2 linked regions of the Saccharomyces cerevisiae S288C genome follow. The protein of the gene in region 1 interacts with the protein of each later gene in a biochemical or structural test. Each region holds a gene or a part of one and is shown in the gene's direction. Other genes may lie near its edges.

Region 1 (5,771 bases):
CGTCGTTCCGCCCAAGCCGTTCATCACCCACAAGATCCTGTTATCTTCAACGGGAAACTCTGGCGGCCACGTGAATTCAAATTACAACGCCGACCACAGCATTAATCATAATTCAAACCACAACCTTAACAGCAACGTGAACGTGAACATGAACTTTACTATAAATGGGAGCAATCAAGACCCGTCATCTTCTTTCCTGATGGGGCCCTACAACTACTTACAGCGGCCTTTCATTGTGAAACCATATCTTGATCTGTCCACAAGCACAGCAGCATCAAATCAGCCACGGACGCAACCATCGCCGGCAGCACATATCACTAAGAATTCCGATTCTACAGAGAAAAACGCAACCATATGACATTCATTTCCAGCATACCACTAAAACATTCGTATATGCCACATAATAACTAGTTGAGAAAACCATAGATATTTATATTTATATGTATTTGTACTTCTTTGAGCAATGTATATTTAAGACTGATCTCAACTTCAGCAACTGTTCAAATTCACTGTTTTTCCTAATTAAGCACAACATGAAAAACTAGAATTTTAGAAAGAAAAGGAAAAAGAATACCAGATGGTAGTTAATTTCTCACAAAAGCACTGCCAGGTAAAGGTATACAGCAAGGATGGACTCTCTTGAAGCTAGATTACAATTCATTCAGGTCCTGAAGAACCTGCAAAAGACGCTGCACAAGACCAGAGACTCTATCACATCATCGTCGACCACCACACCACCGTCATCGCAACAAAAGCTGAACAATGACCCTATACAGTTCTACTTGAGAAACTACAGACATCACTACGAGGACTTCCACCAATGTTTGTTCGATACAACCATGAAGATGGACCCACTAGATAGACTGGACGTAGTGATATACTATGTTAGAATAATAAGAAACTTATATCCGCATAGCCATTCCAATACCAATGTTACAAAAGTGTTAAACGAAGTGCTACTCATGGACATAGACTTGGTTTTTGAGCTTTGTCTGCCCTGCCAGGACTGGAAATCCCTCACGAATCAAGCCACCTGTAAAGAGCTATTCCTTGACTTATCCAAACTAATCCATTACGACGCCACCAGCGTCACGCACACACCATCAGACACCACACTCATAGACGCTACTACCTGGTACAGTGTCAAGACAGAGAGGACTACAAAGGACTATAAAGAATCATTGCAACGAACGGAGTCTCTGCTTAAGGACAGAGACTTGAAGAAATTGGCTTTCTTTCAGCAGTTCAATTCCGATACAACTGCGATCAACCCGGACTTACAGACGCAGCCAACCAATGCAAACATTTTGTTGCACAGGATGGAAGCAGACAGGGAACTGCACAAGAGGTCGAAAGAGACAAGTTGGTACATCGAAAGGCCCTCCAACGATATACTGGATGAATCCGAATTTAAAAGCTTGTGGACGCATTTTGAAACTACTGATTCCGGATTTGATAAGGACGATTACAAAAATATCAAGGCTTTAAATGACATTGCGAAGGCATCTTACATATATTAGTACCATGACGTTATATATATATCTGTGAAGAGAATCCGTATCTGTATTATATATACGTATATACGTATCAATGCGCGTACAAAATGAACTTGTCTTTTTCTTATCTCGATTTCAGGAAAAGCAAACTATTCAAGGTGAAACGGCGGCTAATTTTCCTCTAAGTTACTTTTATTGTAGTCCTCAACATGTGCAGACGAATAAACTTAACACGGTTTGCAGAGTGTGTTGTTGAGTATAAAACAGTCAATTTCTGTGGACCTGGCCGTAGCCTATTGCTGAAAACACACAAAAGAGGAGTTTGACGAGACTTAAAACAAGCCAAGGAAAATACCATGTTAGACTACTCCCTTCATTCGATGGTTTTACGCCGCATTTCTACACAAATGAATTTACATTCGGGCTGATATGGTTGCTACATAAGCGAATTTAAAATTTGAGAAGGTTCATTGTTGCCTTGTGGTTCGAGCTTAAAGATCATAAAGAACCGCGGGGAATTTGTCTAGTTACAAGCTGGAAAGGACTGAGCAGAGGAAGAGCATTCGTTCACAGAGAGGTCCACGATAGAAAAGTGCCAAGAATATTACTTCTTTCACATCAAAAATGTGTGACGGTTCCTTTGCACGTTGAAGCGTTATCATTTTTTTATGTATATACGGCACCGGTTTTTCGCCTTTTCCTGTTCGTATATTTATAGTCGCCCCGCCATTGCTCGCCCTGTTCCTGGTAGTCTAGGCTCTTTGCATTTCTCTTTTGGTGATTTTTATTTTTTATCTGCCGTTACCAATTAAGAAAAATTTCTGAAATCGTCCAACAGATATGCGTAAAGCAAATATTGCAATTATCATTTTGTGCATAACTTACCAATAATTGATTTCTGTTTCTGTAGGATTTCTCGACAAGAATCTCAACTTCTTACCCGTTTTGGCCAAGGACTTTGCAACTGAAGCAGCAGATTTGAGATATATTCTGGGGAACAAAAGAAGTATTAATGACTTTTACATTCTCCACTTCATCAAGGAAAAATGGGAGACCTCCTTTAAAATCAGTTTCTACGGAAGATAACATTCATCTATTGAGGAAGCGGCGTCAACAGCAGCTGTCAAGTAATTCTACAGATAATTCGCTGCATCCAAATAGTGGGCAGACTCCACGTGCAAGTGACAGCCAGGACGATGACATACGCAGCGCTTCAACAACCAATTTAGACCGTTTACGACAAGAACGAGAGGAAAATTCACTGGAAATGGACTGCACACAGTCAAGATTATCTCATAGAGCAAATATGCTAGTGGATGTCCTACCATCTTTTGAGATGTATAATGCCTTGCACAGACACATACCTCAAGGAAACGTTGATCCCGATAGACATGATTTCCCCCCTTCTTATCAAGAAGTTCGCACTCAAAGAATGACTATATTGCCCAGCAATGATAATTCCGTGGAAAGGTCACAATTGACAGCAGTGCCAGGATCCGAAAACGCATGTAATAATGCGACTGCCCATTCTCTTACCAACCTACATCCTCTACAAACACAACATCTTACAATAAACAGTACAAGAAGTGGTGGACAGTCGCTCCATTCTTCATCAGACACCAATATCAGTCAAATACCGTTCGAAGATGATCTAAACGACTCGGATAACATTTTTATAGACAAGTTATACACCTTACCCAAGTTATCCACTCCTATCGAAATTGATATAAGAATAACGAAAACTGCATCAATACCTCATGAGCGTCCTGAGGAACAGTCAATATTGAAGGAATACACCTCGGGTGATATTATTCATGGTTATTGTTTAATTGAAAATCGGTCCTCTCAACCACTGAAATTTGAAATGTTTTATGTCACTTTAGAAGCGTACATATCTGTAATTGACCGTCAGAAAGGGAAAAGAACGTTAAAGAGATTTTTAAGAATGGTCGATTTGAGCGCATCTTGGTCTTATACAAACATAACCCCAAGTACGGGTATTAATATTGTCCCCGGTGAAAGGGATTTTGACGATGCCATCATTGGTCTTTCAAACAGCAGAGAATTGAAGCCGAACACAAAGTATAAGAAATTCTTCATGTTCAAGCTTCCTACACAGTTATTGGACGTGACTTGCAAACAAGAGCAATTCTCACACTGCCTTCTGCCTCCCAGCTTTGGTATCGACAAGTATAAAAATAATTGTAAATACTCTGGCATAAAAGTAAATAGTGTCCTTGGCTGTGGGCATTTAGGTACAAAAGGTTCACCCATTCTGACACTTGACATGGCAGATGATAATTTATCAATAAATTATACAATTGATGCCAAAATTGTCGGTAAAGATAAAAGAACATCTAAGCTGAATATTATGAAAGAAAAAGAATATAACTTGAGAGTTATGCCCTTCCCCTTTGCTGGTGTCACTAATCAACAAAACGAGAAAACGTGTTTGAGACAACTGAAAAATTTGGAAAGCTTGATTGAAGATAGATTTGAAGCTTTGAACAAGATTTTCAAGAAACTGGAATTAAATGAGGCCATTTCGAATGTAGATATTCATGACACAGATATAAGCGGGACTTTGGACGGTAATGAAGATTTGGATTCCGATGAGATATTAAGACGTAAGCTAGATCAACTGCACATCAATAACAGGATTGATGATACCGCCAGCCAATCACCATCCTATGACTCCAAAAATATGGCTCCAAAGGAAAACCTAGTCGAGACTGAGTTACGCTATAAGTTTAAAAATAAGAATAAATCAAATTCAAGTTTATTTTCTCATTTTTTGAGTTCATCAGAAACGGGGTCATCTTCAACTGGTCCACATGTATATAATTCCGGATTGATTGTATTATCAGTTAAAAAACCGCAATCTACATTACCTTATTGGTCACCATCATTGTTGAGAAAAACCAACAAATTTGAAGCAAAGAGTGAACAAGAAAAGGAAAACTGGCAAAGGTTAATGGGCATGCTTCCAGAAGGAGTGAAAACCCCACTGACCAAGTTAGATGTACATTTGACTTGTATCCAATCTAATAATAGTGCAGGACATAAGCCGCCAGAAATAAGCTCTGTAACGACAGAATTTGTGGTCATCACAGCAAAGTCTGATAATTCGATTCCTATCAAATTCTGCACTGAACTGTTGATGAATGAGAATAGATTAAACAAACTAAAGACAAAATTTTTGACGTATCAGAAAAAAGTTCATGAATATCGTAAAAAATTTGAAGAAAACCATGCGAAGCTAAACGAGCTTTATAATAGAAATAGAGATCATTTCACTCCAAAAGAGCTTTTGTTCACAAATTTCATATCTGATCAAATAAACAATGATATTGACAGTTTAGCTGGATTAAAAGTTAACATTATTGATTTACATGATATCTTCAAAAAGCAAATACATACTTTTGAAGAAGAAAACGAGGATATTATTTCGAAGAAAGGAAGTTCCAATCCTCCTTCCGCGTCATCCAGTAATAATAATTTCTTACAAGCAACATTTAGCAATGGTGCATCCACCGCTACTAAGTTTACTCAGCAAATTGTGCATGAATGGGAAAAAGTTAAGCCATTACAGTATAAGAGGGATGTTACAGTTAATTTGAAGCTCAACCCCAACATTAAAGAAACGTTAGTGCCCAATCTTGAAACGTGTTTGTGTTGTAGATTTTATTGTGTTCGAGTAAACATCAAATTTGATAACCACTTGGGTTCTATGAAAGTTGATATTCCGGTTGATGTGAAAAAGTTACAAATTTAGACCATACAACACTAACAGTAATCTCGCAGTTTTACAAATAATTGATAAAAGCAGGACTATTTTTTAACCATTTAATATACCTATTACTATTAATATCATTAATATTATTATATTATGTACAGTCACTTATTTCTTTTTTTTTTTTTCTTTCTTTCTTTCGTTCTATTTCCCCCTAGTATATACGAATTCTGCACATCACAGCAAAATATATGGCTATCACATGGCACAGGTATTACTAAAGAAGAAGAGAGACAGAAATAGTATAGGCATGTTTTACTAGCTTCGATTTTCTTGACAAAAAAAAAAGGAAATTTGTTCTATTTACTTTAAACTTTAATGCCCCAATGGATGGCACATATACCAAAAGTTAAACTTTCGTAGCCAGCAGATTTGAATCCTGCCTTCTCAATCATGGATTTGAACGTTTCTTGGTCAGGAAATCTTTCGATAGACTCCACCAAATACTGGTAAGAGTCGTAGTCATTAGCAATCATCGAGCC
Region 2 (3,593 bases), on another chromosome or scaffold:
TAATTGTTGGGATTCCACTGTTGGTAAACGCAATAATATTAGGTATACAGAATATACTAGAGGTTTTTCTTCGAGGATCTTGGGATCCAAAATAGGGAATCGGTATTTCTGCATAATATTGCTATTATTTCTCCTTCTATTTTACATGCTTCATTATCCTATTACATTATCTAGCTATGCAATTCAGCTCTCATTAAGTCTAATGACTGTTTTTCAATTGTTGTATAATCTTCTTATACCTCATTTGATAATATAGCAATAATATAAAATAGTACTCTATAGGTTATAGGAGTCTTAATACAATGAGCGCGCCATTATCGTTCTGTAAAGTAAATAGTCATTCACATAACGAGCTAATAAAAATCTCCAGATGGCACACATAGTGTATGGCAACATCAATGAGAAGAATAAGGTCTTCGAGGAATAAATTGTTCTAATCATGACAAAAACTACATAACAGAAGACTGAAAGACTGCATTAAAAAAATATTATTAGCATGAACACTAGTCAAAAAATGACACTAAGATTTCATTCCAACACTACATTTTTTCGGAAAACGTTTTATTGAAGTACTGCTTTATGGTCAGCACGTATCGCTTCATATATGATAACCTTACACAGTATCTTTCCGAAAAATCATGAAACGAAGTAACACAGCATCAATTTCTGTGAGAAATAGACAAAGATGTTTCAAAAGTTCCAACATATAGTGAGCATCGTTCATATACCTCGTACAAATCAAATTTGTCTCTTGGAATACCGAAAATTAGCCGCTCAAACACTCTCCGTTGTTAATGACAATTACACCATAGCCGCTGCCGTAGAAAATGCACGGTCTTCCGTGACGAGAAGATTCGGGGGCGAATCGCATAGATCGCTCTTTCTCCTCTTTCTCAATTCTGTCTTATCTGTATTTATAACATGAGCTCATAAACAAAGTCCCTGTTTATATATATTGATGACTTATATATCTTTCGCTTCAGCTTCTTCCCTCATTTCTACTTAATATTATCTTTTGAAATTAGCGCGATCAATTGCATTCTTTTCCACACCACCTTCAAATTTAAGAATTCATATTTGAATCGAACCGTATGTTTTACCTCTCAATAACTTGTTTCATTAATAGCTCCTTCCACAACCACCTTCATCTTCTCTGATTTGAATTATTACCGACATGAATGTTACTCTCCTGAAAATGTTAATTATATCAACTTAACAGGCCTTGAAAGTGAAGTGTTATAGTTTCTCTTCCTTTGTTTTTCCCACTTTCTTTTTTTTATATATATCTTATATTGGTTTAAGCACAGCGGATTGCTTTCTTCTAATACAAGAACTAGAACATAGGTCCACCCGTGTGATGTTGCATTCTGAAATGTTTAGTTATCTCTGTCAGAACAGCGAGGTAACACTTATTTTTGTTACGACCAATCCGTAATTCAAGCGTGGGTATTCATATGACCAGAGATAATAATACAGCGAATACTATTGAAATCGTCCCTTTTTTGTTTAGGAAGAACGGACAAATCGGTCGTCTGCTCGAAATGATTAGTAGTGTGTCACCCGGATCAGCAAAATGACACACACGAAATACGAGGAAAAAGTCGGTCGAAAGGGGCAAATGTTATTATAAGTCCCTCCAGTAGTCTTTTTTTTTTCAAATATTCATCATCAAAGGTTACGAAATCTTTTGAGCTATCTTAAACATTCGTTCTTTTTATCAAATTTCAATTACTAACTTATTTTTTCAAAAAAAATTGCCTCTCCCGGTTTTTAATCATTATTTTTTTCGATTGATTAAGGGGGAAAAGCAAAGAACGAGAAAACTTGGACAGAAGGTTAATACTCTGACAATTTCAAAACGAAGTAAAAAGAAAAATTATCAAATCAACAAAAAGTACCCGTTACAACAAAAAAAATGTCCCAAACTCGTGAAGATTCTGTTTACCTAGCTAAATTAGCTGAACAAGCCGAACGTTATGAAGAAATGGTCGAAAACATGAAGGCCGTTGCTTCATCAGGTCAAGAGTTATCTGTCGAAGAACGGAATCTATTGTCGGTTGCTTACAAGAACGTCATCGGTGCTCGCCGTGCTTCATGGAGAATAGTTTCTTCGATCGAACAAAAAGAAGAATCAAAGGAGAAATCTGAACATCAAGTTGAATTAATCCGTTCTTACCGTTCTAAAATTGAAACTGAATTGACCAAAATCTCTGACGACATTTTATCTGTGTTAGATTCTCATTTAATCCCTTCTGCTACTACTGGTGAGTCTAAAGTATTTTACTATAAGATGAAGGGTGACTACCACCGTTATTTAGCTGAATTTTCCAGCGGAGATGCAAGAGAAAAGGCAACCAACTCCTCTTTGGAGGCTTATAAAACCGCTTCCGAAATCGCCACAACTGAATTGCCTCCAACTCACCCAATTCGTTTAGGTCTAGCTTTGAATTTCTCCGTCTTCTATTACGAAATTCAAAACTCTCCTGATAAGGCTTGCCACTTGGCCAAACAAGCCTTTGATGATGCTATTGCTGAGTTAGATACTTTATCTGAAGAATCATACAAGGATAGCACTTTGATCATGCAATTATTAAGGGACAACTTGACCTTATGGACCTCTGATATTTCTGAATCTGGTCAAGAAGATCAACAACAACAACAACAACAGCAACAGCAACAGCAACAACAGCAACAACAAGCTCCAGCTGAACAAACTCAAGGTGAACCAACCAAATAAGAGCGCTGAGAAATACAAGGGGAAATGAAGATTTACCACTCCAGTTTTCTTGCTAACGAAAATGAATGCAATTCGATTTTGATACTTTTTTTAGGGGAAGAGATAATATCTTCGTCTAATACAAATTCACAAAATTTTCAATTTTACCAACTACAAAATATACAAACCTCTAAAAAAATAGTTTCTTAATATATAACATAAAATAGTTTTTCTGTTACTATTACTTCTATCACTGTTTTCTTCGTGTATTCTTATATTTTGGCTATCGTTCAGAGTTGAGACAATTTGCGAGAGTAATTGAGTAGTAATTTTCGTATGTTTTAAAATAAGTTCCTTCCATTGTATACGCACCTCTTTCTTCTGTTTTCCTTTGAATCTTGATCTACCTTACCTATTGAAGGTGAAGGCATCTTTTCTCATTTGATGAAACAGCGCTCCCTGGGTGTAGGGGGGCGGGGGTATAGTAGCGTAAATCCGCAACGGAAAAATACTTCGAGTGGAAAACTATGACCATTAATATGTATGTCTTACAAGAGAGGACAATAAACAAAGTCAAATAACCACAAGGGATCACAAACGAAAGGATGTCAGTTATTCCTCCAAAATTCTTCAAGATTGCAAATATATCAATTGGCTGCATAGACATTATTGCTGCCCTTTCACAATTGACGTATATTTTCACCAATTTAAACGTCTTCCTCTTGGCAGTTTACGGACTGGCACTCTCCGTACCTATCGTCTATCTGGAGTTCAAGGTTCCGTCAAATCTTTACAGGTATGCTTCCTTTTACTTTAGTTTTCTTGGAAGGGGTTTATCTTATATTTTACTAAGTCTGATAATCAGCTTCGGCGGTAT

What was found. The genes of interacting proteins can lie anywhere in the genome.
Region 2: the proteins of BUL2 (region 1) and BMH2 form a complex in vitro, tested with the Saccharomyces cerevisiae proteins (one study listed by BioGRID).

Annotation. Positions count from the first base shown.
Region 1 is NC_001145.3:44,434-50,204, forward strand, and holds BUL2 (ubiquitin-ubiquitin ligase BUL2), read left to right. Parts: upstream 1-2,508; coding exon 2,509-5,271; downstream 5,272-5,771. Other genes in the region: DAT1 (Dat1p), read left to right, coding at 1-358; CTK3 (Ctk3p), read left to right, coding at 630-1,520; COQ5 (2-hexaprenyl-6-methoxy-1,4-benzoquinone methyltransferase), read right to left, coding at 5,598-5,771. UniProt on the Saccharomyces cerevisiae protein: Component of a RSP5 ubiquitin ligase complex which specifies polyubiquitination and intracellular trafficking of the general amino acid permease GAP1 as well as other permeases such as PMA1.
Region 2 is NC_001136.10:651,692-655,284, forward strand, and holds BMH2 (14-3-3 family protein BMH2), read left to right. Parts: upstream 1-1,915; coding exon 1,916-2,737; downstream 2,738-3,593. Other genes in the region: TVP15 (Tvp15p), read left to right, coding at 3,322-3,593.